Linked DNA regions of Pelodiscus sinensis. The protein of the gene in region 2 interacts with the protein of the main gene of each other region in a pairwise test. Links are inferred from orthologs where the notes say so. Each region holds a gene or a part of one and is shown on either strand. Other genes may lie near its edges. The genes, in order: GCC1, ATF4, NFE2L2 and CCDC106.

Region 1 (6,879 bases), about 90 Mb from region 2:
ACTGGGTCAGAACAAAGGTCCATCCTGCCCAGTGTCTGGTCTTCCAACAGTGGCCAATGCCAGATGCCCCAGAGGGAGTGAACAGAACAGGGAATCATCATGTGATCCCTCTCCTGTTATCCAGACAAACAAGAGGCTAGGGACACCATTCCTACCCACCCCGGCTAACAGCCATTGATGGATCTAACCTCCATGAATCTATCTAGCTCTTTTTTGAATCCTGTTAAGTCCTGGTCTTCACCACATCCTCTGGCAAGGAGTTCCACAGGTCGACTGTGTGCTGCATGATGAAAAACTTCCTTTTGTTTTAAACCTGCTGCCTATGAATTTCACCTGGTGACCCCTACTTCTTATATTGTGGGACTCCATACCAGCTGGAGGGTCACAGGCACTCTGAGCTGGGTACTGTGCCTCGTACTGACAGGTCCCATTCCCTGACTGAAGTGCCACTTGCTACTTATTAATTTCATTTGGTGATCCCTAGTTTTTATGTTATGGGAACAAGTAAATACATTTTCCTTATTCACTTTCTCCATACCTATCATGATTTTATAGAGCTCTATCATATCCCCCTTTAGTCTCCTCGTTTCTAAAATGAAAAGTCCCCATCTTTTTAATCTCTCTTCTTATAGCACCCATTCCAAAACCCCTAATAATTTTTGTTGCCCTTTTCTGAACCCTTTCCAATACCAATATATCTTTTTTGAGATGAAGTGGCCACATCTATATGGAATATTCAAGAAGTGGGCATACTATGGATTTACAATCCATCTCATTGTTTATTCCATGCAGTACCAGGAAAAGAGGAAAGATGTTTTTCATGACCCCAGTTGGTGAGCAGCTCAGCCCCTGAAGGTGGAGAGTTAAAAGCCACTCTCATTTCACCTTATCTTACTGAATTATTTACCTCAGCATCCACTGACAGGAAGCGCTGTTTGTTTGTTTGTAATACACTACATTACTTAGGGATGTTGAAATGAATTTATTTAGGTAAAGGTGTAACCGCTGAGAATTTCAGTGGTTACACATTTACACACCAAAGGGTGGGAGGAAGCATGTAACTGTGAAGGTCAATGACACATTTACACGTTCACATCCCTAATTACAATTATTTCATTCTATTAGAATAGTTTCAATTTGCACTGCTCCTATCACTGCAGACTCTTGAAAAGTTTTACAAAGGTACAGTCACAGGAACTGCCACAATGCTTAGAACAGTGCTCTATCCACTGGTCTCTGACAGTGGCCTGGGTAATGTGCTTCAGAAGGTATATGAAACTATAATGGACAATTATGGCACAGTTCCTTATAAAACAAGTTTCTTCCTACTCCTACAGTGGTTGACCTATGCTCCTGAAGCACAGCAGTTTGAATCCTTATTAAGAAGGAATTCCTTCTAATGGAACAGTAGATTTTTCTCTCATTTATGGTCCTATGAAGACGCAGGATTTATGCCAACCCAAACTCACTACAAATCTCTGTACTCACTAATGCTCTCCTCCTATATAATAGGTTGGCTAGTACACCCTGGTGTACCAACAAAGAATTACCTTTTTCATCTCTTGCAGCAGCTGTGCTTGAAAATGACTCTTGAGGCTGGCCATCTCCTCCTGTAGCTCCTGCAGCCTGGGATCTGGCTTGCTGCTCGTTTCCTGCACGGCCTGCAGCTCTCTCTTCAGCTCCTCCACCACCCTGTTCAGCTGCTTTGTCTGCAGTTCAGACTCTTCCACTCGGTCTGCCATGTACACCCTTCCAGCCAGTGCTTCCTTAGTCTCCTCCAACTTTAGCTCCACATCCTGGCGCAAGGTCCTTTCACCTTGCAGCAGCTTCTGCAGCTCCCGCAGCATCACGGCATGGTCACTCTGCTCTTGGGCCCGGTCATGTTGCTGAGTAATAAGACGAGCTTTGGTCTCTGCCAGCTGCTCCTGGACACACTTCATCTCTGCCTCCAACTTGCTCCTCTCTTCCTCAGCCTTTTTACTGGCCTCATCCAGGTCCTGCTTCATCTTTTTCTTGTCTGCTTGGTACGAGGCTTCCATGCGGGATTTCTCCTGGGTGACTGTAGCCAGGGAGCTGGTTAAGGTGGCCAGTTGAGTCTTCAGCTGGAGCACCCTTTTGTCAGTCTCACTAGCCGCGCCTGGCACATCCCCACTGCTCGTGCTGACCCCACTCTCCGACTCGCTCGCCTCCTCCGATTTCAGGGGGGGCCCCCCAGCTCCGGTTCGCTCATCGTCTGTCCCCAGTTCACCCTTGGCACTGGTCATGCTGGCAGCCGTGTCCACACTGGTGGCCGTGCCCGTGCTGTCCTCGCTGTGCGCGGAACTCCGGTCATCCGCACAGTCGGCAAGGGACACGCCGGAGTGGGCAGCGCCCGGGGGCGGGGGGCCACCCAGGCCCGCGTCGGTCTCGTGGGACACGGACAAGACTTTCAAGCTGGCTTCCAAGGCTTCCTTCTCGGCCAGCAGGCTCTTGTAGGCCCGCACCACGTCCCCCAGGCGCGTCTGGTACTGGAGCAGCTGCTTCCGCTGCGCCTCCACGGTCTCCGCGAGCTCCCTGCGGCTGGGGCCGCCCCCGAAGCTCATCCCGAACTTCTCCATGGCGGGGGGGCTCGGGCAGCCCCCGGGGAAGGCGCAGACTCCGGAGTGACTCCGGTTCCGTCACAGCCCCCCCCTCAGCGGGCGGGAAGAGGCCGCCCCCGGGATCGCGCCCCCCTCAGCGGGCGGGCGGGAAGAGGCCGCCCGCTCGGTGTTTCGGCGGGACGGGGAGAGGCCGGCCCCTCCCCCCGCCGCTCCTCACACGTCAGCAAGGCGGCTCCGCTCACCCGGACCTCCCGCCACACGCATGCGTGGAACCCGTCACGCCCGGCCCACCCTCATCACGCCTGCGCGTAAACCGCCGCTCCCCGGCCCGCGAGCCTCGCGCTTGCGCACCCCGCGCCTCTCGCGGCCAACGCGCCTGCGCCCAGGACGTAGGTCACCAACCGACGCTCGCCGCTCTTGAGGTTCCCCGCTAACGGTCGCTACGCGTGCGCGTATGGCGTCATTTCCCCCCCCCCGGGGGCCAACGGTCGCCGCGCATGCGCGCATATCTCAGCGCTCTACCTGCTGGCCCCGCTTCTTTCTCACTGCGCATGTGCCGATTGCAGTAGCCTTTTGACTCTTCTGCCCAGGTCGCAGCGCCCAAGTGCGCAGGTGCGCTCCTCGGGAAGGGGCGGGGCTATGAGATTTGGGGGCGGGGCTCCGAGGCAGTAGCTGCCACGTGGGGAGGGAGGCGCTGCACGGCTGCAGGAGGGGACCGGTTCCCTAGCTAGGGCCGGGGCGGGAGCTGCCTTTGCCCGAGGCCCTGAGCAGGCGATGCGGGGGCCCGGCAGAGGCGTGTTCAGCCCCACGGAGCCGGCCTCCTTCTTCCCGTGGGGGCCCGCCCCCACCCCGCCCCACTATCCTGTTGGGCTGGTTCCTGCTCAGCAGCGAGCCTCTGCCCCGGCCCACGGGCAGGGACGTGTCGCCGGGCCCGCTCAGCGTGGCTCCGTGGAGAAGTCACTTCCTAGCCCTGGGTCGCTCGGGCTCTGCCGGTCCGGCATGCTAGGGGCAAGGTGGGTGAAGCTGCGATGTCTTCCCCGCGGGTGAAAACCAGAAGCCTTTGAGACCCAGAGCACCTTGTTAGGTCCAGCGGAAGTTGGTCCAATAAAGCCTGTTCCCTCACCCACTGTTGTCTCTCGTGGCCGGTGGGGGAAAGCATGGCCCATAGGGAGGTTGCTCCTAGCTAGAACCCCATCTCTGGGATGATTTATGATCAGAGGGGTAGCCCCCGTTAGTCTGTAATGGGAAAAACTTAAGAAAAACCCCAAGGCTGTGTCTACATTGGCGCAATCTTGCGCCAAAGCGGTGGCTTTTGTGCAAAAACTTGCTGCCTGGCTACACTGGCCGCGAGATCTTGCGCAAGAACACTGACGTTCTAATGTGTGAAATCAGGGCTTCTTGCACAAGAACTATGATGCTCTCACTCAGGAATAAGCCCTCTTGTGTAACTGTTCTTGCGCAGAGGCCAGTGTAGATAGGCAACATGAATTTCTTGCCCAGGAAAGCCCTTTGGTTAAAATGGCCATCGGAGCTTTCTTGCGCAAGAGAGCGTCTACACTGGCATGGATGCTCTTGTGCAAAAGCACATCTCTTACGCAAAGGCACATGCCAGTGTAGATGCTCTCGTGCGCAAATACTTTAACGCAAGAACTCTTGCGTTAAAGAGTATTTGTGCAAGATCATGCCAATGTAGACATAGCCTAAGTCTTGCAGCACCTTAAAGACTAACAAAACAAGTGTAGTTTTCATTTAAAAAAGCCCCTTGGAATGCAAAAGGCAGCCCAGGTACACCAGGCAGTCAGCGACAATAGCTCCAGAGGGGTGGACTGTCCCATTCAGATTAATTTCAAGCCCTGCTGCCATTTCCAAGCGGTGTGACCTCACTGCAAGGCCCTGGCACAGGGTGGGATCCAGGAGTATCACCAGCATTGTGCCTAGAGCCCTGGAGCTGCAGGGAGCAGAAGTTTCGGGGTGAGGGAGCAGGACTCCCCCAAAAATGGGGCTCTGGCAGGATTCAAGGGATTGTGGCCCTTTCTAGAGACGGGGTAGTGTAGCTCCTGGGGGCGTGGCTAGCACTTGAAGAGGCGGAGCTCGCGGTGCAAGGGTGGGGCCAATGCTGTAGGAGGCGGGGCTATTGGTAGAGGGCGTGGCTCCTGCGGAGGATCGCGCTGCTGCTAGCGTCCAGGATCCTCGAGGAGGCGGAGCTAGTGCTGCAGGGGCGGGGCTCTTGCAGGAGGCGACTGACGGCGCCTGGCCACGTGCCCATGCTTCTGGGGGCGGGGCCACTGCCACGGGGCGGGGCTCGTTCTACAGGTATCGGAGTGTTGCCGGGTTTGGGGCTCTGCCAAGGGGCGGGACTAAGGCGGACGGGGGCGGGGCTCTTTCAGGAGGCGGGGTTAAGGCTCGGGAGCGGGTTCTGTGGGGGGGGCTCTGTCAGGAGGCGGGATTAAGGCGGGAGGGGGCGGGGCTATGGCTGGGGGGGGCTCGTCTAGGGGGCGGGGCTCTGATGCGAGGGAGCCTATGACAGGGTGGACGGGGCTCTGACGGGGCGGGGCTAAGACTCGGGAGGAGGCTCTGTGGGGGCGGCTCTGCCAGGAGGCGGGGCTACGGCGGGCGGGGCGGGGCTGTGCCAGGGGCGGGGCGGGGCTAAGACTCGGGAGGAGGCTCTGTGGGGGCGGCTCTGCCAGGAGGCGGGGCTACGGCGGGCGGGGCGGGGCTGTGCCAGGGGCGGGGCTAAGACTCGCTAGGGAGCTCTGTGGGGGGGGGAATCTGCCAGGAGGCGGGGCTAAGGCTCGTTGGGGGGCTCTGTGGGGGGGGAATCTGCCAGGAGGCGGGGCTAAGGCTCGGTGGGGGGCTCTGCCGAGGGCGGGGCTAAGGCTCGTTGGGGGGGCTCTGCCGAGGGCAGGGCTACGGCGGGCGGGGGCGGGGCTAAGACTCGCTAGGGAGCTCTGGGGGCGGGGATCTGCCAGGAGGCGGGGCTAAGGCTCGGTGGGGGGGCTCTGCCGAGGGCGGGGCTACAGCGGGCGGGGGCGGGGCCCTGCCAGGGGGCGGGGCCAGGCTGCTCGCAGCGGCGGTGTCGGCAGGCTCGGGGCGCAGCGCGGCTCCCGCTCCCCAGCCATGGGCCTCACGGTCTCCGCCATCTTCTCGCGGATCTTCGGCAAGAAGCAGATGCGGATCCTCATGGGTGAGGCCGCGTCCCCCCCTCCCACCCCCGGGGGGGCCCTACGGGCGGGGGGGGGGACGCAGGGCCGGGGGGGCCCAACGGGCAGGGGGGGGGACGCAGGGCCGGGGGGGCCCTACGGGCCGGGGGGGGACGCAGGGCCGGGGGGGCCCTACGGGCAGGGGGGGGGGGGACGCAGGGCCGGGGGGGCCCAACGGGCAGGGGGGGGGACGCAGGGCCGGGGGGGCCCTACGGGCCGGGGGGGGACGCAGGGCCGGGGGGGCCCAACGGGCAGGGGGGGGGGGATGCAGGGCTCTGGAGAATGGGGAGGGCTGTGTTCCCGGGGGGCAGTGGGGTTGGGTTGCGGGACTGGGGGGGGCAGGGCGATATGGGGAGAGGGGCGGGATGCAGGGCTCTGGAGAATGGGGAGGGCTGTGTTCCCGGGGGGCAGTGGGGTTGGGTTGCGGGACTGGGGGGGGCAGGGCGATATGGGGAGAGGGGCGGGATGCAGGGCGGGGGGATGCAGGGCTCTGGAGAATGGGGAGGGCTGTGTTCCCGGGGGGCAGTGGGGTTGGGTTGCGGGGCTGGGGGGGGCAGGGCGATATGGGGAGAGGGGTGGGATGCAGGGCGGGGGGGTGCAGGGCTCTGGAGAATGGGGAGGGCTGTGTTCCCGGGGGGCAGTGGGGTTGGGTTGCGGGACTGGGGGGGGCAGGGCGATATGGGGGGAGGGGCGGGATGCAGGGTGGGGGGGGATGCAGGGCTCTGGAGAATGGGGAGGGCTGTGTTCCCGGGGGGCAGTGGGGTTGGGTTGCGGGACTGGGGGGGGCAGGGCGATATGGGGAGAGGGGCGGGATGCAGGGCGGGGGGATGCAGGGCTCTGGAGAATGGGGAGGGCTGTGTTCCCGGGGGGCAGTGGGGTTGGGTTGCGGGGCTGGGGGGGGCAGGGCGATATGGGGAGAGGGGTGGGATGCAGGGCGGGGGGGTGCAGGGCTCTGGAGAATGGGGAGGGCTGTGTTCCCGGGGGGCAGTGGGGTTGGGTTGCGGGACTGGGGGGGGCAGGGCGATATGGGGGGAGGGGCGGGATGCAGGGTGGGGGGGGATGCAGGGCTCTGGAGAATGGGGAGGGCTGTGTTCCTGGGG
Region 2 (7,924 bases):
CTCCTGTTCTGCTCTTTTCTTCTGCCGATAACGTGTAGCAGCTGTCTTATTCTGCTCCATTTTCTTCAATTTCTTATCAACCCTTTTTTCTCCCTTCACCTTTGCCAACACTACTTTCTCTACAGGATGATCATATGGTTTGGGCCGCATAGAACCACAAATGGGGTCTGCAGGAAACTGGCTGTCATTGAACGATTCTACAGAGGTGACTGGACTGTGTTGGGGTGTCCCCAGATAAGACTCTGGGCTCATACATATTCCACTATCATTATCTGAATGTACTTCCTCCTCTTTCTCAAACTTGGGGATCACCACCACCACGAATGTGGTGGCTTCTGCTTTTTTGTCTCCTTCCAGTACATCAACTTCACTACCTAGATCTAAACTAAATGAATGGTCTGGAGTAGAAGTCAAGGACTCTGGAGAGAGGTGAAGAGGCAGAAGGGGGGCAAGTGAGGCCACCTGATCTACTCCAATTGGAGATTCAGGGTGATGAATGATTGGGTCAGTTATCAGTGAAGGTTCTTTGTTGGGAATTTCCTGGGTAGGAGGGTCTAATAGATCACACGTGTCTTCCAACGTGGCCATGAGCTCATCTGGAGAGACGGTGGTTTCCAAGTCATCCATTCCTAACAGGGCATCAAAGTCGAACTCCTTCAGATCCATCTTCTCCACCATCCAATCCATGCCAGAGAAGGCATCCTCTGCAACATGGGGAAACAATTACCATACGAGTACAGCAGTCACACAATCAATTCAAAAGGCTACTGAAAAAACTGCATGCTATATTGTGGATTTTTTCTCCATTCATTTCTCTGATAGACAAATCTAATCATATGTTCTAAACAATAGATGTCTGCTCCAGATTAATTAAGCTTGACCCAGACTGGACCCAAACCCACCTGATCCAAAAGGGTCCTAACCCCAGCTCAGCTTCACTCTTTTCCCCTCCTTACGGGGTTACAGAAAAATCAGAAGTTTGGCAGCTCCACTCCTATCCTTTGTGCACACTCCACAGCAATGAGATATCCGATTGGACCAAGATGCTGAATCAACCTGACTCCAAGCTGGTGTGGTTGTTTTCCCCACCTGATATTTATTGTGGAGTGGGTTGCAGAGCTTTACTAAAAAAGGACAAAATATTCCTGATAGTGATTTGTAACGTGCCATTTCTCTGGTTCCTTCAAGCTCTATAGAATTGGAAAGATTTTAAGAGCTACCTGAAAGCAACACATTCGCATGTTGTAGGCTCCTTCCCCAAAGAATAGCCTTTTGAGCCACATACGGAACAGGGATGGAGATGCTCTTGATTCTCAATACACTGCTTTTCATCCATTTAAATAGCTCACTGATCAACATCAATGAATGATGAGATATGCAAACACTTGCTAATTGAACACTATAATCCTGTGAGAATAAAGTAATGCCTTACCCTGGCTGTCATCTGTGGTTTTGCCCAAACTATCCTCAGCCAGCCAATTGGAGGAGACTGCCTTAGCCTTGTCGCTGGAGAACCCATGCGAACTGAGGGGCTTGGCCACCTCCAGGTAGTCATCTAGAAGTCCCAGACTTTCCTCAGCCACCAAACACCACTGGCTGAAGGGGGACTTTAAACCCCCCAACAGCATATCCGTGTTCAAGAGGCTCATCTTGGTCAAATGTTAATGCTTTTTGCTCAAAGAATGTAGATGAGTAGGTGTCTTTGTCAATTACAGCAATGCTGCTGTGAGGTGCTTTGAAAAACCTGGAATTAAAGACAGAAGATCATCTGTTATATAGCACAGCCATTTGTGTGATTTGACTTAAACTGTATGTTTTCTACTGGTGGAAAAAGGGAGTTTTCAACTATATAAACCATGTTATGGAACACTAACCAAACTGGGGTTTCCCTCTTTTCAGGATCTCCTGTGAGCCACATTTTTGCATTTTGCACCCTTCTTGCCGGTCTCAGAACTCTCACCCCAATAGCGCCATCTGGTAACTAAGATGGTGCTTGTGAAGTCTCAACAGAAAGGGCCACTCAAGTTTCCTCATGACCAAATATGGTCACATCTCCTGCGAGAGCCCCTCCCACCCATCTGCTGTGACTCATGCCTGCATTGCTGGACTTGCGCCTATGCCAGCTGCTGCAGCCATTTCGCGTTCCTGCCTGTGTGCTCGCTCACCCCGCCCTAGCAATAGGCGGCCATTTTGTGTATCCTGCCACGTTTCCACGGGGGCAGCACCTGGCATCTAGCAGGCGGACCAGGAGCAAAGCGGCGCGACACAGCGGGAAGGGAAACGCTCCCTGCAGCCCTAGAGCGGGCATCGGAGGAGAACGTGGGACTTCGCCTACAAACCCCGCCAGGGCGCACAGGGGAGCGGGAAGCTGAATGGGCAGCCCCCAGCTGCAGCCTCGCTCCCCCCGCCCCCCAACAGCGGAGCCCCAGGGACCCGCAAGCGCGAGGAGCAGGGGCGAGAGGGACAATCCACCGCAATGCCCCCCCCTTCCATAAGGAATGGGTTCTCCCGGGCTAAGCGGATCACAGGAATTCACCCCCCCCCCCCATCCCACTCCATATGGTGCCTCCCAGCAACTCGCGCGCTCCCTAGCAGGGCAGGGAGGGAAGGGCGCAATGGAGCGTCCCAAGGCCCGTCCCTGCGTCCCTCCTTCGGGAGCGACCAATTCACTCCCCTACGGGCTATACCATTTCGGCCCACCCCCCGCGGGAAAAGCCATTCGCTAACATGGGGGGGGGAGGGCTTCCCGGCTCACTTACGCCCCTTTCCCACTCGGCCAGATCGTTGCCGATGGGGGGCCCCGCCCCGCCCCCATACTCACGCCATGGCTGCAGATGCCGGGGAGGGGCCGTGGACGCCGCTGCTGTTGCTGCGCCCGCTGCACTGGCCGATGCCGCTGCTGGCCCTGCCGCCCTTACCAAGCCATGGCGGCGGCGGCAAGGCTGCTCCGGGTCGGGTCCCGCCTGCGCCCACGCACAGAACACACGACGCACTAGACAGACAGACAATGAGAGGGTGGCTCGCGCGTTCCCCGCTTATATACCGCCCTTTTCCCCTCCCCCCCACAAAATGAGATCCGGTTTCGCTGTATCCTTCCGCCAGATTCACCGCGCGCGCTCACAAATGCCGGGTGGTGCGCAGCGCTCTGTGCCCCGCTGCCATCCCCCGATTGCCGGAAGACTCCCGGGGACGGGAGAGGTGATTCGCGTGGTCACGCGCACTGCCGAGGGGACCAGCCAACACTCGGCGGAAGAATTACAGGGGGCTATATTGTGCAGTGTACCCATCACCCTGACTCTATGCCTCATTGACGCGAAGTGACGTCACGCCACGCAGAAACTGGCGCGGGCGGGATGTTCCCGCCTTTGGTCTGGCACAGACCGGTGGGCTCGGCGCGGCACGGGGATCACCACGTGGGCATGTGAAGCATTGATTGGCTGATACCGCAAATTCACGTGCGCTGTGAGCTACCATTGGTTAGAGCGAGAGCGATGCAAACTGCAGGCCCAGGAGCTGCGCTTCTCGGCTGAAGGGGGAGAGGGGGCGCGAGGCGGCTAGCTGCAACGTCAGCCGCCCAATCAGCCCTGCCCCCAGCTCGCCCCCCTCCCTGCAGCGCCAGCCCTGTGCTCCCCCCACTTCCTCATCCCCCCCAGTGCTAGCCCTGCCCCCAGTGCCCCTTCTCATCCCCTACCCCACAGTGCCAGCCTTGCACCCCACAGCTCCTCTCCCCGCCCACCCCTGCATTCGTGCCCTGCCGCCAGCCCCCACCGCTGCCTCTTTGCCCACAGCCCTGCCCTCCTGTGCCCCCTGCTCTTCCACAGCCCCTCCCTTTGCTGCAGCACCCGCTGCTCCCCCAGCGCTCCACTGCCATGCTAGTCTTGCCCTGTGACTTCCTCACCCTGCCTCCCCTGCTGTACCAGCTCTGACCTCACCACCACCCCCATTTTCTCACATCCTTTCTGTGCCTAGGGTTACCAGATGTTTTCAGAAAAATACCCAACACACTTGATCTCAGATGGCGGTGGGGACCGATTGGGAGGGGAGCAGGGCACAGCTGGCAGGAAGCAGGGCTGGCCCAGAGGAGGTTGGGAGGAAGCAGGGCTGGTCCAGGCAAACATAGATCCTGGGGTGCAGCCCATCCCTCACACAGTCCTGGCCTTCCATCCCGGCCCCGCCCCCCTCCTCTCTATTGTGTAATTGTATACTGCCTGGTGAGTACACACGCTCACGCAGTACGCAACTATGTACTGATAATCATGATAATAAAACTTACTTAATTAGAAAATACCAGACATTTATATGTCCGGTATTTTCTCAATTTGTTTCCCGGACAGAAAGCTCAAAAACCGGACTGTCTGGTTCAAAACCGGACACCTGGCAACCCTATCTGTGCCAACTCTGTCCCCACTTTCCCTGCTCTTGGGCTGCTGTGCCAGCTTTCTCCTCCCCTCCCCACCACTTCTTACTCCCCCACAGCACTTCTCTCCCTGTGCCAGGACTGCTCCTCACTTTCCCCTCCCTGCTGTGCCATCCTGCCCCTAACTGTCTCTCACTTCCCTTCATCCCCACCCCTGTTGCCCATTTCCTTGCTCTACCAGTCCTGCCACTAGGGCAACCTGTTCTTCTATGACCCCTCTCTCTGCCATGCTAGCTTTGTCCCCTCTTCTGTTGCCCCCCGCCCCTTGCTGTTTGAGGTGCATTCAGATATAATTACATGTTTTCCATATTGCTAACCATACAGTACAGCAGGGGTCAGCAACCTTTCAGAAGTGATATGCCAGATTTAACTTATTCACTGATCTGGGTACGGTGACCATATTTTCTGAACCAGCTGCAGCTAGGGAGAACAGTTCAATTTAAATTATGAAACAGATTAAGCATTTAACTTTCTCATGTTAGTTTATTAAACTTCACCTTATTTAAAGTAAAATATTATGTCCAACACAAAAGGTTTCAATGTTTTCTTTGTTTATGGCAGGGATAGGGAACCTTTTTTGAGTTGGGGAGCCACTGACCCACAGAAAAACCAGTTGGAGACCACACAGTGAGAAGCAAAAAAACCCTACTAACCCTCACTGATATAGCCCCCAACTGAAACACCTCACTCCCTAGTGCTCCAACCTCACAGGGCAAGGGGAAGGAACAGGGAGGACTGAGGTTCAGGGTTTCCTGTAGGCCAGATTTACTTTTCTGGCATTCTGGAATTGGAGGATTTTATGAACCCCCTTAGGTTCTGGAGTAGGGACAAAAATGAGGGGTTTAGTGTGTGAGACAGAGTTGCCAGCAAGTAGGATAGGTATGGGGTGCAGAAGGGGGAAAAGTTGGGAGGTGGGGTGCAGAAGCAGGCTGGGAGTAGGATGTCGGCTGGTGGAGAGAGCAGGGACAAGGGAGGGTGCAGTGTGTGGCCAGAGAGAGCGTACAGGAGCAATGGTGGATACAGGAGCAGGGTGGGGCTATGTGTCTGGCCAGGCCAGGAGGGAGGGTGCAGGAGCAAGATAGGGGTGTAGTGTCTAGCTAGGAGAGAGGATGCAGGAACAAGTGAGGGCATTGGAGCAAGCTGGAAGTGTAGGGTCTTGGTGGGGGGAGGTGAGTGAGGGGGATTGGGATGTGGGGGTTTGGGCATAAGGAGGGACACTTACTTGACAACTGCTGCAACCATGCTGTCCTGAGCCAACCTGCAGGCCCCACTGACGCTTCCACCACAGACAGGAGCCAGCCCCAGAGGACCCACTGCCTCCAGCCTCCAGGGCTGGCCCCAACTGTGTGCGCCACAGTAGCAGCGGGGAAGGAGGCGATAGGGCTGAGCTCCCTCCCTCATGCTGCTTAAAATCGGCTCACATGCCATAAGTGGCATACGTGCCATAGGATGTCAATCCCTGCTATACAGTTTGGACTCTGGGGGTTTGTCTACACTACAGGACAAGTTAAGATACACAACTTCAGCTACATTAATTGCGTAGCTGAAGTCAAAGTACCTTAACTCAATTTTTGGCGCTTTCTACACTGCAGGAAGTCAAAGGAAGAACACTCTTCCTTCGACTTCCCTTACTCCTTGTGAAAGCAGGGTTGGCAGCATCAACCGGAGTGCCCCTCTCACTTCGAATTAACTATCTTAAATACACTGCTAATTCGAACTCTGGAAGATCAACAGCAGCAGCTTCGTATAATCATAATCAGCAATAAAGGTTTTGCACAACAAACTTGTGCTTTCAGCTACTTCTGGCAGCAACCCTATTGTCTTCCAGTTATGACTTTAGGAACACTCGTGGAAGCTCATGGCCTTCATTGGGTTTGCACAGCTGTAACTTACTGGAACCTAGTAAACAATTTTAGCGATAATCCTCAAGGACAAATTGTGTCCAGCCTGCTCCCCCACACAGCCCTGCAAAGCCAGCAAAAGAGCAAGAAAGCAATGCAACCTTATCATCACTGAAGTCAGCACAAAATCCTCCAAATGCACAATAGGAACCGCTTTGCTGAGTGGAAATGTACCACGTATACAAGGTATTTTTTTTTCTTTTAAGAGCAAAATAACATTTTGAGTCATTGGAGGGGAAACTGCCCTACATCTCAGAAGACATCACAATAGCAGCTCAGTGAACCATGACGACTGGTCTGAAAAAAAAATGCATCAAGGAGCTCACTGAGTTTCAGTACAGAATGGAGGGGAGGCAGTGAAACAAAGAAGCCAAACAAGGGATTGGAGGGGCAGGGGGGTGGATATCAGTGTAGCATGGGGATTGGCTGACGGGAAGGCTTTCACATCCCTTAACCTTGATCCACCCCCTTCCCCATTTTAAGTAATGCTGTCTTTATAGCCAAATCAGTGGAAAGTATATACACACCCTACCCTCCCTCTTGAAAAGCTAATTAAGGATTTTCATGAAAGGAGTCACTGTACGGCAGAGCCAGACTCACATAAGCAAATATGAAATGCGCAACAAGGAACTTCACCCGGATTATCCTGTTTCGGTTTTTCATCTACTTAGCTTTCTTTGTGCATGAAATTAGCACAGTGAAAGGTTCCAGAGAGACATCTTCCATCTCTTCACACTTCCCCCACCCAAAACCCCCCACAAAAATACATTCTCAAAACTCCAAAAAACAGCCATTGGTTAACTTCAAGATTATTTCCTAGTTACCTAGATGACTATAATAGATGCTTTTTATTAGATGCTTGTAGAAATTAGTTATACAGAGTTCCACGTTAAAGCACCCTTTTGCCTTTGCACAGAACTTGCTGAATGTATCTCCTTTGTGAAGGTAATTCTTATTAGAAAAAAAGATTTTTTTTCCCTTAAAGTAAAAATCCTTTGGTTGTTTTTCAGTGATGGGAGAAAACAAGCTGGAAAATGCAAGAGTCTTTTCTCATCATTAACTCAAAAACCTCAAAACAGATTCCTTACGATGCGTATATACAGCAGGGTTTAACACAAAATAAGCTACGCAAATTGAGCTACATCAATTGCATAGCTTCTTTTGAAATTGGAAATGTCAATTACACTGGGGTGGGCAAAAGAGCCTCCGCGGGCCGAATCTGGCCCATCAAGCGGCTGGATCCAGCCCACAGAGGCCCACTGCTCCCCCGCCCCCAGACCAATTAAGGTCTGGGGGCAGGGGAGTGCCCGAAGCCTTCTCCGCTCTGCCCCCACCCTTCTCGCAGCACGGGGGCAGAGCGGAGAAGGCTTTGCACGCTCCCCCACCTCCAGGACTTAATTGGCCTGGGGACGGGGGAGTGCACAAAGCCTCCTTCCGCCCTGCCAGGAGCACATGGCACTTTGAAATGCCGTGCGATGCTCGTAGGGCGAGGGGGAAAGTGGAGGAGGCTTTCCGCGCTCCCCCGCCACCAGGCCAGTCAGGTGCCCCCGTAGGGCGGGGGAGGCTTCGCCCACTCCCCTGCCCCCAGGCCCTGATTGGCCTGGAG
Region 3 (7,555 bases), on a different chromosome or scaffold from region 2:
CTGGACTACAAACTTATGCTGGTATAATGTTGCTCAGGGTTCTGGAATATCCACACCCTGGAATGACATAGTTACACCAACTTACCCACTGATGTAGACAGCACGAAAGGGCTTCTTTTGCATGCATGCTAACGGGACATGCTCTCCCATTGGCATAGGTTGTGTTTTCAGTAACTGCTAATACAGCCATGCTGCTGCAACACTGTAACTGTAAATAAGCCCATAGTTGCTAAAGCCCTTAAAGATGAGACCAAAAAAAGCTTGAATTTTATGCAGTGCATAAGTTGGTGCCAGTAGGAATTCAGAGGGGAGCTAGCACAGTCAAATAAACCAAGAAAATTACTTTAGCAGCAACATTTTGCAAGGAATGAATGGGTGTCAAGAGGGGAGGCCAGACATGAGGCAATAGTAGTAGTGAAGCTAAAAAATGATGAAGGCCCAAGAGGAACTTTTTTAAGAACAGAGATACAAGAAGCAATATTGCAAAGAGGGACACATCTCAAGAGTGGGGAGGTAGATGTGTTTGATACATCCAGAAAGGTGTAGCTGAAACTTTAAGAGTGGATGCTGTCCCCTAAAATACTCGCTCTCAGCCTTTTCAGACTACAGTAGCCCTTTCAAGTGTCTGATTTGTTTTACGTACCCCTACGTTTCATGTCACTTAAAAAAATCAGACATAAAAATACAAAAGTGTCACAGCACACTATTACTGAAAAAAAAACCACTCATTTTCTCATTTTTACCATATAATTATAAAATAAATCAATTGGGATATAAATGTTATACTTACATCTTAATGTATTGTATATAGCGGTCTATAAACAAGACATTGTATAAAATTTCAGTTTGTACTGATTCTGCGAGTGCTTTTTATGCAACCTGCTGTAAAACTAGGCAAATATGTAGCTGTGTTGATGTATCTCCTAGAAGACCTCTGTGTACCTCCAGGGGTACACATATGCCTGACTGAGAACCACTGCCTCAAATTAATCTGGTGGGATATCTAGCCCCTGAGAAACAGCTATCTAAGCTTCTCTTAAGTCTGTGATCCAGATCAGAATGAACCTAAACAATGGACATAACATTTGGAATACATACATGTAATAAATTTAGGAGTAAAAAGTTTGTATTTCCCTATAAACAAGAAGGGGGGGGGGGGAGAAATGAACACAAAACATCTGTAAACTAAAATTGAAGAGTAAACTGGTTTAGTTCTCAACTATTCCTTCACCCTTTAAAAAATGCATTTTTTAAATAAAAGAGTGAAATAACTTAGGATAATTTCTTCTGCTTTTAGACAATTGATACAACTGATAGCACAAGACTATGAAAAAGAATGTCATTATATGCCCCTGAAGAGACTTGTTATGAAATGAAACTGCTTAACTTTACATATATTTTATGCAGAAACATGATAAAGAAACTATCAGAAAAAAAGTTGAAAGAATGTTTAATATTTAAAATTTATGTTCTGATAATTCAGAGATTATACCCTCCATATATGCTGGTTTACACATTTTGAAGCTGCACCAAAAGGCTAAATCCAAAACATAACAGCCCCAGGGAAATAAATGATTGTGTAACAGCTCCAACTTGTTCCTGGCTCAGAACACTAGGGATCTCACGCTATCGAGCAGAAAGGGCCCTTTTAGGGAAATTGTGACAGACGATAAACTTTTAACTAAAGCCAAAAGCCATCCACACAAGGATAATGTATCCAAATAAGAAATTAGATGTGGGGCCTTAAAATTTAAATGCAGTGGCATGTTTAATGAGGACTAAATCACACAGATCCAGGGGGTCTCCGGAGCCACCAGGGATGCTGAAACAATATGTGTAGTAGAGGTGCTGACCAGGGGATGTCAATTCCAGGCCCTCTGCTGACAGAGTCCAGGCTCTCCCAGGATCTATCAGAACTGGCTGGGCTCCACTCCAGGCTTCGCACTCCAGGCTTCGCTCTGTTCCAGCCCTGGTCACTGGGCTCCCTGCCACCAGGCTGGTTCCACTGTTAGCCCCAGCTACCTGACTCTTGGCTCTCCCGGCCACTGGCCCTGCAGCCCTGTTCCCAGGTCCTGCCCCGCAGCTGTTGGGGATCTTTGTTTCAGCAATATCAATGGCCCTGCCAGACCACAGATCAGAACCCTGGACTAGAGAGTTTCTGCCTGTACAATGATATCTGGTTAAGATTTCCAAGGCAGACTTATTTAAATTTGTTGAGTGTAGATAATGTTTGCTAGGGCTACTACTCCTTACAGCTAAAACTGAAAGCCATACATTTTATTTACACCCAGGGCCTAGACATTTTGTTCACACCCCCACTTCCTCAGTCAATAGATTTTCAGGAAATCAAGAGTATCTAGTCTACCTCTCTGGGAGGCCAGCCTCATTGTTCCTGACCTTCCCATGGCCTTTTGCCCTTGAGGCAGCTGGTAAGATTGGCTGGCACCACAGACCTGGTTAAAACCAGGGTGGCTGTTACTGGCATCATCTCACATCACATTTCAGGCCTCTTCCAAGGGGCTGTGACATGGTGCAGATGGGGAAACTGAGTCACCAAAGGGTAAGTCCCAAGCTCGCAGCAGAGGACACTAGTTTGGCGTAAGAACCCCCGGGCCGTGGTCCCCCTGACGCGCCACCGACCCCAGGGGGCTCCGCGCCAGGCTGCTCCCTTGGCCTGGGGGCCGGCAGGAACCGTGCGCGGCCCGCCTCCCCCGGGCGCCCGGCCGGTCCCGTGACTCATCACGTTCCCGGAGCAGGGGAAGCCGCGCCGATCTCGAGAGCAGGGGCGGGGCCGCGACTCCTGCTCCCCCCCCCCCCCGCCACCAGCAGCCCCCCGCTCCGGCGTGTCGCCACCCGGGCGGGGCGGGGGCTGCCCCAGGGGAGACACGTGCCAGCGGCCCCCGGACTCGCGGCCCCTCCCGGCGGACTCGGGGCCCAGGCCCGGCTCTCACCTGCGGGGCGGGCAGCACCTCGATCTCCATCCTGCTGGCGGCAGCCGGCGCGTCGCCCCTCGCTCCCTGTCCCGGTGCTCGCTGCGACGCTGGCGGGGGAGTGAAGCGAGCGGCCCCGGACAGCTGGGACAGCGAGCCGCCTCCCGCCCCGCCCCGCCCGGCCCCAGCCACTCACGGCCGCGGCAGCCGGGGAGGCGGCCCTTGTCCCAGTGCCCCGGCAACTTCGGCAACGGCGGCCGCACGGAGCAGCGCGGGGGCTGGCCCGGCCCCGCCCATCCTCACATCCCCGTCCGGCCCCAAGCCACCCTGGCCCCGTCCGAGCCCCTGCCTGTCCCCCCAGGGCCTGCTAGAGAGCAGCGTCCCGGCCCTCTCCCCTTCCCTCGCTGCCACACGCCCCTGTGCCCCGTCTTCTGCTTCCCCACCCCATCCCAGCCATAAACCATCCCTTCCCTCGCCTGTCCTCTCCCATCGCTGCCACACACACCTGAGCCTCGGCCCCATCTTCTTCCCTCTCTCCCCAAAACCACCAGCCCCATCCCTTCCCGAGCCTGTCCTCTCCCATCACTGCCAAACACGCGCCCAGATGTCTGCGTTGTATGCTCCTAGGCACAGCATCATTAGCACCTGCCCCTGCCTACAGCTGACTTTTGTGCTTTCTCTAAAAACAAAAAATGAAATTTGTAAACCACTTTAAAGTTTTGTAAACTTTAGAAGGGCAGCACCCCAAGGCACCTGAGTACTGTGCCTAACTGGACATCTGGCTCTGTGTGTATGTAAGCCGGCGCACGCGCACACGCTCTCTTTCTCTCTCTCTCTCTCTCCTCCCCATCTCTCCTGAAAATCACCCACGTCCATCAGCTCCCACAAACTATCCAGTTATTCCCAGATTCTTCTTCATTCCAACAGATCTCTCCTCAACCTATTCCAATTCAATTCCGATTCCTCTCTATTCCTACCACATTGTTTCTCATCAGATCCTTTTTCAGCCTGTCAATCTTGCCACAATAAACTAAGTCTTCCCTGATTTATCATAACTCATCCCATCTCCAAGTCTGACAGAACCCTGCCTGCCTGATCTCAGCAGATTCCAACATATCAGAGCCATTTCCCCCATCTCAACATATCTCAATCCAGCAGATTCACCAGATGCCTTTCCAACAGATTCTGCAACATCCCAGCTGACCAACTCTTTATACTAACTGACCTTCCCCAGCCATTCCAACTTATAGTTGGTAACTAATATAGCAGCTTAATAATGAGAGGAAGGCTATATGGAAATTCCAACACATTTCTCAAAACTCTTAATATAAACTGACATCCACCACTCCTGAGACTCCCCTTCCCCCCCAATACCTAATATAGGAGTGCTCTGAGTGACTCACCTCAATCCTTCCCCACCACTCAAGTTAACCTTGTTTAGCTGCATGCTACCCACAAAAGAATTATTACTTTACAACATTATTTTATTCTTACCTCTAGACATCCTGTGCTGTTTAGCTATGGAACCGGGCCATATCTTGCAATGTGAAGCAGCACATCAATGCATGTATGGACCTACTTCCATGAAGAAGTGTGCATGGTGCAGTTTTATTGTCTGTTTTCACAGAAAGTATTGGAAGATATAGGTAAACTCTGTTTTAGTTGAGTCCACAGCTTTTGGGGGTTTAAAGACATTACCTTGTTCTGTTATGCTAGCTCTGTAGTTGTACAACCAAGTCTCACAAATTATGCACATTCAGTTCTTGGAAGAATGGCCTCTAAGAGAAACTCCAGAGCTCGGAAAGTATTTGTAGATTTAGTAGATAGCACTGTTACTAATCCTAAAACAGTGCACTAGCAGAAGATGCTGTTTTTTCAGAGAGGCCATCTTTCAAATGAGATCCTGACTACTTTTGATAATTAAAAGATTCCACAGCACTTTTAGAAGAATGGGTGCATTAATCCTTGTGCACTGGCTAGATTCCGACTGAGGTAATTACATTTTTCCTGCTTTAATTTCCTCTGAAATTTAAATGTGAGACAGGATTCTTCACTTCTTAATCTCAAATGTTGTTGTATTCTGTTCAACACCTGTTGTGTAGCCTCATAGAAGGTCGAGCTCTTCAGCAGTTGGTGAAAATAAATCTTATGTTAAATTTGTGGTCATTTGGGGATAACAGTCACTGTAAAAATGCAAGATGTTGTATTTGTTAGGAAGTTATAACAGGTCAAAGCCACTATCTATAATGCATACACAGTGGTGGAACTAATGGTGGTCTTAGGTGTATGTGTGGCTTCCTTTAAAGTCAATAAATATAATTGAAGAGAACACTGCTAATAACCCCTCACCCAGCCTTGCTCTGCACCTGCTGAAAACATGGCTCTATTCCTGTGCTTATTCCTGTTCTAAATGATCCAGCTTACTGCAGTGGTGTGGACACATTTTTTAAAAGTGGTGGTACTGGGACCCCTTATCCCTGTCTGAATCCCCTGCTGAAGCTGGGTGTGGAGCTGGCAATTGAGCACCCAGTGCACGGGGCTCGAGCTGGGACCTTTGGGCGCGAGCTGGCAGCAGAGCCCCCAGCATGTGGGACCTTGAGATTGGGGGTACTGCAGCACCCTCCCACTCCCGAAGTTCCCATGCCTATGGCTCACAGTGCTATTTAATCCTCTCACATCTACTACAATAAAGAGTGTTGCTCTGGTGGGACAAAACATACAAATGAATGTATGCAATGTCAGATGTTAAAACGATAGCTGTGTTAGTCTAGTTCAGCAAAAGCAACAACGAGTCTGGTGGCACTTTAAAGACTAACACATGTATTAGGGTATTAGAGCATAAGCTCTCATGAGCTACAGCTCCTCAGACACTGAAGAAAAAAAAGAGAGAAAAAAGAGGGAGGAAAAGGACACAGAGATGGGACTATGACATCAGTACTAATTAAATCAGAGTGGATGTGGCTCATCTCCAACAGTGGTAAGGTGTGAGTACCTGAATGGGAAATTACTTATGTGTAATGTAAGAGTAACATGAGAATCAGTCCATGTGCCAAATTTGCATTATTCCCAAGTCAGCAGTTTCTCCTTGCAGTCTGTTTTGCCTGAGAATAGCAACTCGAAAGGCTGAAATTGTGTGTTCAGGCAGGTTAAAGTGCTCCCCCACTGGCTTTTGTATGTTACCATTCTTAATGTCTGATGTGTGTCCATTTATTCTTTTGCATAGACAGATGGTTTGTCAGATGTACATGGCAGAGGGGCATTGTTGGCACATGATGGCATATATTACATCAGTAGATGTGCACAAGAATGAGCCTTTGGTGGCATAGCTGATGTGGTGAGGTCCTGTGATGGTGTCACTGGGATAAATATGTGGCAGAGTTGGTAATCCTTTGTTGCAAGGATAGGTACCTGGATTAGTGTTTCTGTTGTAGCATATGAAGTTTTTGGTGGGTATTTATCTCAGGTTGGAGAGCTGTCAGTAAGCAAGAACTGGCCTGTTTCCCAAGGTCTGTGAGAGCGAGGGATCGTCGTTTATGATAGGTTGTAGATCCTTGATGATATGTAGGATAGATTGTAGCTGAGGGATGTAAGTAATGTCTATGTTATGTTATGTTATGTTGCTTTCTTTGATGGGTCTGTCCTGGCTAGCCACTTTATCAATCTGTTTCTTCACTTCTTGAGGTGGGTATTGGAGTTTTAAGAATGCTTGATAGAGATCCTGTCTTAGTCTGAGGGATTGGAACAAATGCAGTTGTATTTTAGGGATTGGTTGTAGACAATGGATGGTGTGATGAGTTTTGGATGAAAGCTGTTATTAGGGATATTACATTTAGATTAATTGGCTAATCGAATAGTTGATACAATTTACATCGGCTATTTGATTAGTCGATAAGGGCACCTCCACATTTGAGGTGAAAGAGCTGCAGGGAGCTTGGAGCCATCAGGAGACTCACAGTGTTTCAAAGTCTCACAGCAGGAGACTCTCAGTACCACAGCGTTTCAAAGTGGCAGAGCTGCATGGAGCCTGGGGTCAGCAGTGGAGTCTGCAGGCTCCATGTGATGCTACCACTATGAAACACCTCCGCCTCTTCTGATAGAGGCAGCAAGGTGGGGGGGGGGGGAAGCAACTAGTCGATTAGCGTGTCAACTGTTCGATAAGCATTTGCGTACCTGATAGGCGACTAGTCATTCACATTCCTAATTATTACCAGATATTTGTCATTGTAATCACTCCATAAAATAGAATGTAATGTTTCGCTTCTCTCTCTCACTAGCATGTCTACGATGCATGTTTATTGTAAATATAGAAAGCCTGTAGTGTAATTATATACAACTACACATCCATCTGAAGAATGTAAACTATAATCAGAATGTCTTAATTACATGACTCTTTTGCTAAATATACCAGGTATGTTCATCTGCAATACACCTGCTCTGCTATGGAAATTCAGGTAGAACATGTTGCACTGTCTATGAACGTATTAGGAATGTATATGGAGAATAGATACGTTTTATCACTGCATGAGGAGGTATGTCTATGCAGTGTTATTGTAGCTGCATTGGTGCCAGGGTTTTAGAGAGACGAGCTAAGGTAATATCTTTTATAGGACCAGCTTTACGTGCCA
Region 4 (6,868 bases), on a different chromosome or scaffold from region 2:
TGCTTTAATTAAAAAAAAATCCTGGAAAAAAGTAGACAAAACCCAAAGTTTTAACCAAAAAAAAAATTGTTGATCAATTTGGCAAATACTTGGGACTCGGCCAAAGAAGGCCGCTCCAGTTTGAGCCTTGGGCCGATTTTGTGCCTTTTGAACGTTTCTGTACCTTTCATTTTACATTTAACACTGGCAACAACTTTGGAAAAGGCCAACATCAAAGACGTCTCTTTTGAGCATTGAAAATCATTCCCCACCCCTACAGATCTGCATAGATTATTGAAATAATCTAGCCACCGAGATCTGGGCCCAGTCAGGCCTGGTGTGGATAAAATCTAGTCATAATCTCAGACATTCCCATAGGGATTAACAGCCCGCATTTCATCCTCAGGTCTCCAAGCACTTTACCTTGGCAGACCAGGATCATTATGCTCTGTTATGTGGGAAACTGAGGCAAGGGGTGGTGGTGTGGCGGGGGGAGGAATGAGAAATCAGCTGTACCAAACCCATCGCTATCCCTGACCTTTTACAGTTGTTGACAATTGGAAGAAACAACAAAAAGCAAAAAAAGATACATCCATAAAGAACATTTTTTGAGATCTAAAAAAAAAAGACAAAAAATCCCCGCCCCCAAAAAAATCCCGTAGATTTTGCAGAAAATCACCAACAATTTTTCCCCCGGGGTTGTCTGTCCCAAGGGGGGATTGGCCACAGTTCGAGTTTTGCCATGGAAATGAGACACACTAAAACCCACATTCCCGCTGGAACTTGGCTCACCATGCAATGGAAACAGGACGGGTCACTTGGGGTGGGCGGCAGGCTGGCCCCAGGGGAAAACTCAGCCACGCACGGACCCCTCGTGGCAGCCAATAAATCAGTCATGCTCCCGGTTCTAGAGATGGGGGAAAACAGGGACACAGAGAAGGGACATGCAAAGTCACTCTGCAGGGAACAGGACCAGTCCGAAGAAGTCCTGATGTCACCCAACTTCCCCGCCTGCTCTAACCACTAGACCACACTGCCTTCCAAGAGCCAGCTGTGGAACCCAGGAATGCTCAGTTTTTCAGGGCTGTGAGAGCTTAAGCTCCAACCAGCAGCAGGCTGTGAACCATCTGACCTGAGAGCCCCCCGAGCTTCTGGGGAATCTCCCCTAGCCAGGAACACTATAGGGGGCAGGACACAGGGGGAGGGGGTTAGTTCTGATTGCAGCCATCAGGGGCAACATGGCTCTTTCACACACATGCAGCGCAGGGCCCAGCCCCTCCTGCAGGGGGCAACAGGGGACCCCCCCCACACACACACAATCCCCTCCAACAGGAGGCGCCAGCTGCACACAGACACACTTTTCTGCCCTGCGGATTCATTCCTGGTGTGATGGGGGCCTCTGTTGGCCAGGCAGGGGGGATGGGGACCCCTCATCCCTTATTGGCCTCTGGGAAGCAGCAAGTAAAGAGTTTGGCCTTGGAAGTAGAGAAACTGCTTATAAGGGAAGCAGATTGGGGAGGGGGAGACAGAGTCTGAGGCCCAATGGTCCATGAGTTACTCCTTCAGCTCCCGTATACCCAGCCCCCGCACCCCACCCTGCAGGGGCTGGATCACCTGGCAAGGGAGGGCCAGGTTAGGCGGGGATCCCTGCACGACCAACTGCTCCAGGGTGGCACGGCGGGGGCTGGGTATTGGCTGTGGGGGCTGGAGGAGCAAGGGGGGGTCCCCGTTCTCTGCGAGTCACATGATGGAGGGGGTTAAGGGATGGGATGGCTGATGGAGAGGGTTACGGGACAGGTGGATGGTGGTGGGGGTTAAGGGTCACATGACGGGTTTAACCCGCCGTGAGACGCAGCAGCTGGTGGATTCCTGGGCGCTATATTTAGTGGCTAATGACAGGTTGGGATGGTGGAGCTGCCTGCTTAGCACCTCGGGCAGGCCTGGACTGGCAGGTCTGTAGGCTCCCATGGTGGCTGTCTTCTGCCCGCCTCTTGATATAAAGTAGTCCCTACAAAAACAGCCTGGGCAGGAAATGGGGTGCTGGGTCTTTCCCATACGTGTGTGTGCGGGGGCGCCCCATGGGGCTGGTTGGCTCGGGGGGGGGGAGGGAATGGTGTGTAGCTCCCCTCTGGCCCCAGGGGAGCCAGATGGGGGGCACCGACAGGGCTGCGGGGGCAGGGGCTGTGGGGCGCGAGTGAGCGGCACCGAAACAGCTACGGGGGAAAGATGCACAAGCCCACCAATCAGAGCCAGCTCCCTAACGCAACTCACACTTTGCAGACGCTCCCTGGCCCCCAAAGTGTGTGTGTGTGTGGGGGGGAACCGCCTCCCCTTTTCCTTTCCAGCTGGGGGTGAAGGCAGCGGACACCCTGCAGGGAGAAGCGGGGGGGGGACATGGCCGCAGTAAGCGCGACGGCATCAGCCCCCCGCCCCTAGCCCCCTCCCCTTACTGTCCCCTCTGCCTGCCCTTCGTCTCCCGTCCGGCTAGGGAATTGCGCCTCGCTCCCTGCCTGGGCGGGGGAGGCAGGGAGGGAGCTTGAAGGGGCCGACGCTAAAAAGTCGCGCTTTTCCAGAGGCGGAAAATGAAAGCGGACGCGGGGGAGAAGACAGAAACCGCCCCCTCCTCCCGATGGGCGGAGCGAGGGCAGCTCGGTTCTGTGGGGCGGTGATGAGGAATGGATGGATAATGAAGGGGGTGGGGGATGGATGATGGAGGGGGGGTGGATGATGATGGAGACGGTGGGGGATGGATGATGGAGGGGTGGGGATAGATGGATGAAGGAAAAGTTGGGGTATGGATGGATGATAGAGGGGGTGGGATGGATGGTGGAGGGGTGGAGGGGTGGATGGATGATGGAGGGGGTTAAGGGACCAGCGGATGATGGGGGGGTTAATGGACAGGTGGATGATGGAGGGTGGTTAAGGTACAGGTGGGTGATGGAGGGGGTTAAGGAATGGGATGGATGATGATGGGGGTTAAGGGACAGGCAGATGATGGAGGGCGTTAAGGGATGGATGGATGATGGAGAGAGTTAAGGGAGAGGCAGATGATGGAGGGGGTTAAAGGATGGACGGATGATGGAAGGGGTTAAGGGACCGGCAGATGATGGAGGGGGTTAAGCGATGGGATGGATGATGGAGAGAGTTAAGGGAGGGTGGATGATGGAGGGGGTTAAGGGAGGGTGGATGATGGATGGGGGTTAAGGGATCGATGAGTGGATGGATGATGGAGGGGATTAAGGGATGGGATGGCTGATGGAGAGGGTTATGGGACAGGTAGATGTTGGTGGAGGTTAAGGGAGGGACAGATGATGGAGGGGGTTAAAGGACAAGTGAATGATGGAGGGGGTTAAGGGATGGATGGATGATGGAGGAGGTTAAGCGATGGGGTGGATGATGGAGGGGGTTAAGGGATGGATGGATGATGGAGGGGGTTAAGCGATGGGGTGGATGATGGAGGGGGTTAAGGGATGGATGGATGATGGAGGGGGTTAAGGGACGGGCAGATGATGGAGGGGGTTAAGCGATGGGATGGATGATGGAGAGAGTTAAGGGAGGGTGGATGATGGAGGGGGTTAAGGGACGGATGGATGATGGAGGGGGTAAGGGACGGGCGGATGATGGCGGAGTGAGGGATGGGTGACTGAGGGGGTTTGGGGCACAGAGAGGTGATGGGGTGGGGGGAACGGATGGGTGAGAGAGGGGGACTTAGGGGTACTGTCGAGGATTTGGAGGGCAGAGAGCTGTGCTTGGTGAGGATAAAGACACGGGGGTGACTGGGTCTCTCTCCAAGCCTTACCCCCCTTATTACTCCCCCGAGAAGGGGCCGAGCCCTGGCTGGTGGGGGGGGGGGGCGTGTCAATTTCTGAGCGAGCTCTGTAGCACAGCCCCCCCCCGCGTGTCTCTGCCCTGCGTGCGTGGGCGACCCCCCCCCCCGGTGGCGCTTTGCAGACGCTCCCTGGCGCTGCCAGGCGTGGGGGTGGCCGTGCCCGCTGGCTGGGGGTTCGCGAGCCGAGCTGGGTGAGTGGGGTTGGGGGGGGTTGTTCTCTGCAGAGCCCCCCCCCCCGCACCCGCTGCCCTTGCAGCGCGCCCCGGGGCCGGGGGGGGGTTCTCTGCTGAGGGTCTATTTTGCATCCATGGGGGGGATCCGGGGCTACGTTGTACCCCCCCAACTCCGCGTCCAGCCCCAGCTCTTTCCCCTCCCCCCCTCCCCCCTCCGCAATCCAGCCTGGGAGTAGCCGAGTTCCAGCTGCACAGCGAGGCACACAGGGCGGGGGAGGGGCAGAGAAGCCATTTTTAGGGCGATTTCCCCCCATTTGGGGGCACTCGACGGCATTGGGGGGGAGGGCTGGGACCAGGCGTGCAGACTTGGGGGCAGGCGGGGAGTAGAGTCCATCAGAGAGACTGGGGGGCCATGGGGTCCCTGGATCTGATGCACAGGGCTGGAGCTGATGCAAAAGGGGGGGAGGGCTGGGGGGTCTGGAGCTGATGTGCAGGGCTGGGGGGGTTGGATCTGATGCAAAGGGGGGGAGGGCTGGGGGGGCCTGGAGCTGGTGCACGGGGCTGGGGGGCTATACGGGGCCTGGAGTTGGTGTGTAGATCTGGGGGGGGGGGGGGGGCTGCGGGGGAGGGGCTGCTCACTCGGCTGGCTGCTGGTGAGGACTGCAGGGTTTGGGGGTGGGGGCGTAGCTGGGTGCAGATGGCCCCCCGTGGATGCGGGCTGCTGGGTTTCTTCCAGGAGCTCCCCTGCTCTGGCTCTGGGGGAGGCAGGGTTTCCTCCATGTGGCCTGGATCCCCTGGGTCTGTTGGGGGGGGGGGGGGGGGAGAGCCATGTGGCCCTCCCTCCCCTCCCACTTGCTGGTACCCAGCTCTGCGCCTAGATGTCTGCCTTGGGAGTGCCCTGGGGAGAGAGGGGGCATCCCCAGATTTACCCAGCCCCCCAGTAAATCCAGCTCCTTTCCCCAGCTGCTCTGCTGGGATTATGTGTTAACGCCCCAGTTTCCCAGCTCTGGGGCTGGTGCTTGGGGGACGGAGGAGAGGGTGGGTGTTTTGGGGGGACCTGGGACTGAAGTAACACTCGGGGGTGTTTGTAGGGGGAGGGGATGTGATCTGGGCTGGTTCACGGCAAAAGTGCCCCCCCCCGTCCTATAATTTTGGTTGATCTCTGGGGGGGCCAGACTTGGGGAGGGAGGGAAGTTGCAGGGTTCTGGGCAATGTGTATTGTTGTGTGTGTGATTTTGCATGCCCATCCATGTGTCATATCATCTGTAGTGCATAGCGGAGGAAGATTCTCCTCCAGCTTAGGGAGCTGGGATCTATTGCTGCTCCTACTCAGAAGTTTACTGCTGACTAGGTGTTGAACTGAGGCATAGAATCCAGGAGTCCTGCCTCCAGCCTCTCCTACTCCCTACACCCAGACTGGCTTTGTGCCTGGCCTTGCCCTGATCCCATGCACCAGCGCCTGTGTGGGACAGCAGGGGGCACCGATGTGGGCAGCCCACAGGCTGTGGGTTCAAGTCCTGCTCCCAAAGAAGCAGCCTGACCCCCCCTTCCCCCTCTGCGTCTCTTCTTCCTCCCCCAGGGCTGGCCGGAGGGGGGTGCAGGACGGGTTCGGAGCTGGGCTGCCCCACGGCCCATCCGTCTCAGGTAGGTCCCTGGCCCGTCTGCAGGGAGAGTCCGAAAGGTATCCCTACAGGGGCCATGTGGGGTCATTCTCAGGGAACCTCAGCCTCTCCCCAAATGGCTCCCACTGCCAGGCTTGGTCCCCCACACTCCAGAAGTGCCCAGTATGGCGGGTGGTTGGCACCCAGTTCTGGGCACGGCCAGCCTGAGGCAGCTACTGTCGGCTCTGGGGCTTCGTGGGAGCAGAGGGAGCAGGCCTGAGGGGTAGGATGGGTTGAGTCGGGGGTGATTTGGAGTATGTGGGGAGCCCTGGGCATTATGGGTGGGGTGGGGGTGTCCCTGGAGCAAGAAGCAGGTGCCCCAGGGGTTATGGGTTGGGGCTCTCTGGAGTTGTGGATAGGGGCTGCCCCAGGGGTTATGGGTTGGGGCTCTTTGGGGCAGGTGGTGGCTGCCTTGGGGGTGGTGTTATGGGTGGGGGCACTCAGGGGATATGGATAGGGGCTTTCTGGGGTAGTAGTGGTTGTCCTATGAAGATTACGGGTGGGGGCTCTCTCTGGGGATATCGGAAGCTGCCCCAGGGGGATTCTGGGTAGGATCTCTCTGGGGTTATGGGTGGGGCTGCCCACAGGGAGTCTCTCTGTGGTTATGGGTGGGGGCTGCCCAGGGGGGGTCTCTCTGGGGTTATGGGTGGGGGCTGCCCAGGGGGGTCTCTCTGGGGTTATGGGTGGGGGCTTGCCAGGGGGGGTCTCTCTGGGGTTATGGGTGGGGGCTGCCCGGGGGGTCTCTCTGGGGTTATGGGTAGGGCTGCCCAGGGTGGTCTCTCTGTGGTTATGGGTGGGGGCTGCCCAGGGGGGGTCTCTCTGGGGTTATGGGTGGGGGCTGCCCAGGGGGGGTCTCTCTGGGGTTATGGGTGGGGGCTGCCCGGGGGGTCTCTCTGGGGTTATGGGTAGGGCTGCCCAGGGGGGTCTCTCTGTGGTTATGGGTGGGGGCTGCCCAGGGGGGGTCTCTCTGGGGTTATGGGTGGGGGCTGCCCAGGGGGGGTCTCTCTGGGGTTATGGGTGGGGGCTGCCCAGGGGGGTCTCTCTGGGGTTATGGGTGGGGGCTTGCCAGGGGGGGTCTCTCTGGGGTTATGGGTGGGGGCTGCCCGGGGGGTCTCTCTGGGGTTATGGGTAGAGCTGCCCAGGGTGGTCTCTCTGTGGTTATGGGTGGGGGCTGCCCAGGGGGGGTCTCTCTGGGGTTATGGGTGGGGGCTGCCCAGGGGGGGTCT

The links.
Region 1: the proteins of ATF4 (region 2) and GCC1 interact in binary tests that used the Homo sapiens proteins (3 or more experiments, as listed by UniProt). The two-hybrid records come from large-scale screens. The link is inferred for Pelodiscus sinensis from reciprocal best matches to the Homo sapiens genes ATF4 and GCC1.
Region 3: the proteins of ATF4 (region 2) and NFE2L2 interact in binary tests that used the Homo sapiens proteins (3 or more experiments, as listed by UniProt). The link is inferred for Pelodiscus sinensis from reciprocal best matches to the Homo sapiens genes ATF4 and NFE2L2.
Region 4: the proteins of ATF4 (region 2) and CCDC106 interact in binary tests that used the Homo sapiens proteins (3 or more experiments, as listed by UniProt). The link is inferred for Pelodiscus sinensis from reciprocal best matches to the Homo sapiens genes ATF4 and CCDC106.

The regions. Positions count from the first base shown.
Region 1 is NC_134711.1:569,071-575,949, reverse strand, and holds the start of GCC1 (GRIP and coiled-coil domain-containing protein 1), read right to left. Parts: upstream 3,011-6,879; 5' UTR 2,598-3,010; coding exon 1,551-2,597; intron 1-1,550. Other genes in the region: ARF5 (ADP-ribosylation factor 5), read left to right, coding at 5,697-5,763. UniProt on the Homo sapiens protein: Probably involved in maintaining Golgi structure.
Region 2 is NC_134711.1:90,961,910-90,969,833, forward strand, and holds the start of ATF4 (cyclic AMP-dependent transcription factor ATF-4), read right to left. Parts: upstream 3,017-7,924; 5' UTR 2,822-3,016; intron 1,745-2,821; 5' UTR 1,650-1,744; coding exon 1,433-1,649; intron 705-1,432; coding exon 1-704. UniProt on the Homo sapiens protein: Transcription factor that binds the cAMP response element (CRE) (consensus: 5'-GTGACGT[AC][AG]-3') and displays two biological functions, as regulator of metabolic and redox processes under normal cellular conditions, and as master transcription factor during integrated stress response (ISR).
Region 3 is NC_134717.1:45,626,114-45,633,668, forward strand, and holds the start of NFE2L2 (nuclear factor erythroid 2-related factor 2), read right to left. Parts: upstream 3,014-7,555; 5' UTR 2,982-3,013; coding exon 2,952-2,981; intron 1-2,951.
Region 4 is NW_027465849.1:3,188,716-3,195,583, reverse strand, and holds the start of CCDC106 (coiled-coil domain-containing protein 106), read left to right. Parts: upstream 1-3,865; 5' UTR 3,866-3,999; intron 4,000-5,560; 5' UTR 5,561-5,625; intron 5,626-6,868. UniProt on the Homo sapiens protein: Promotes the degradation of p53/TP53 protein and inhibits its transactivity.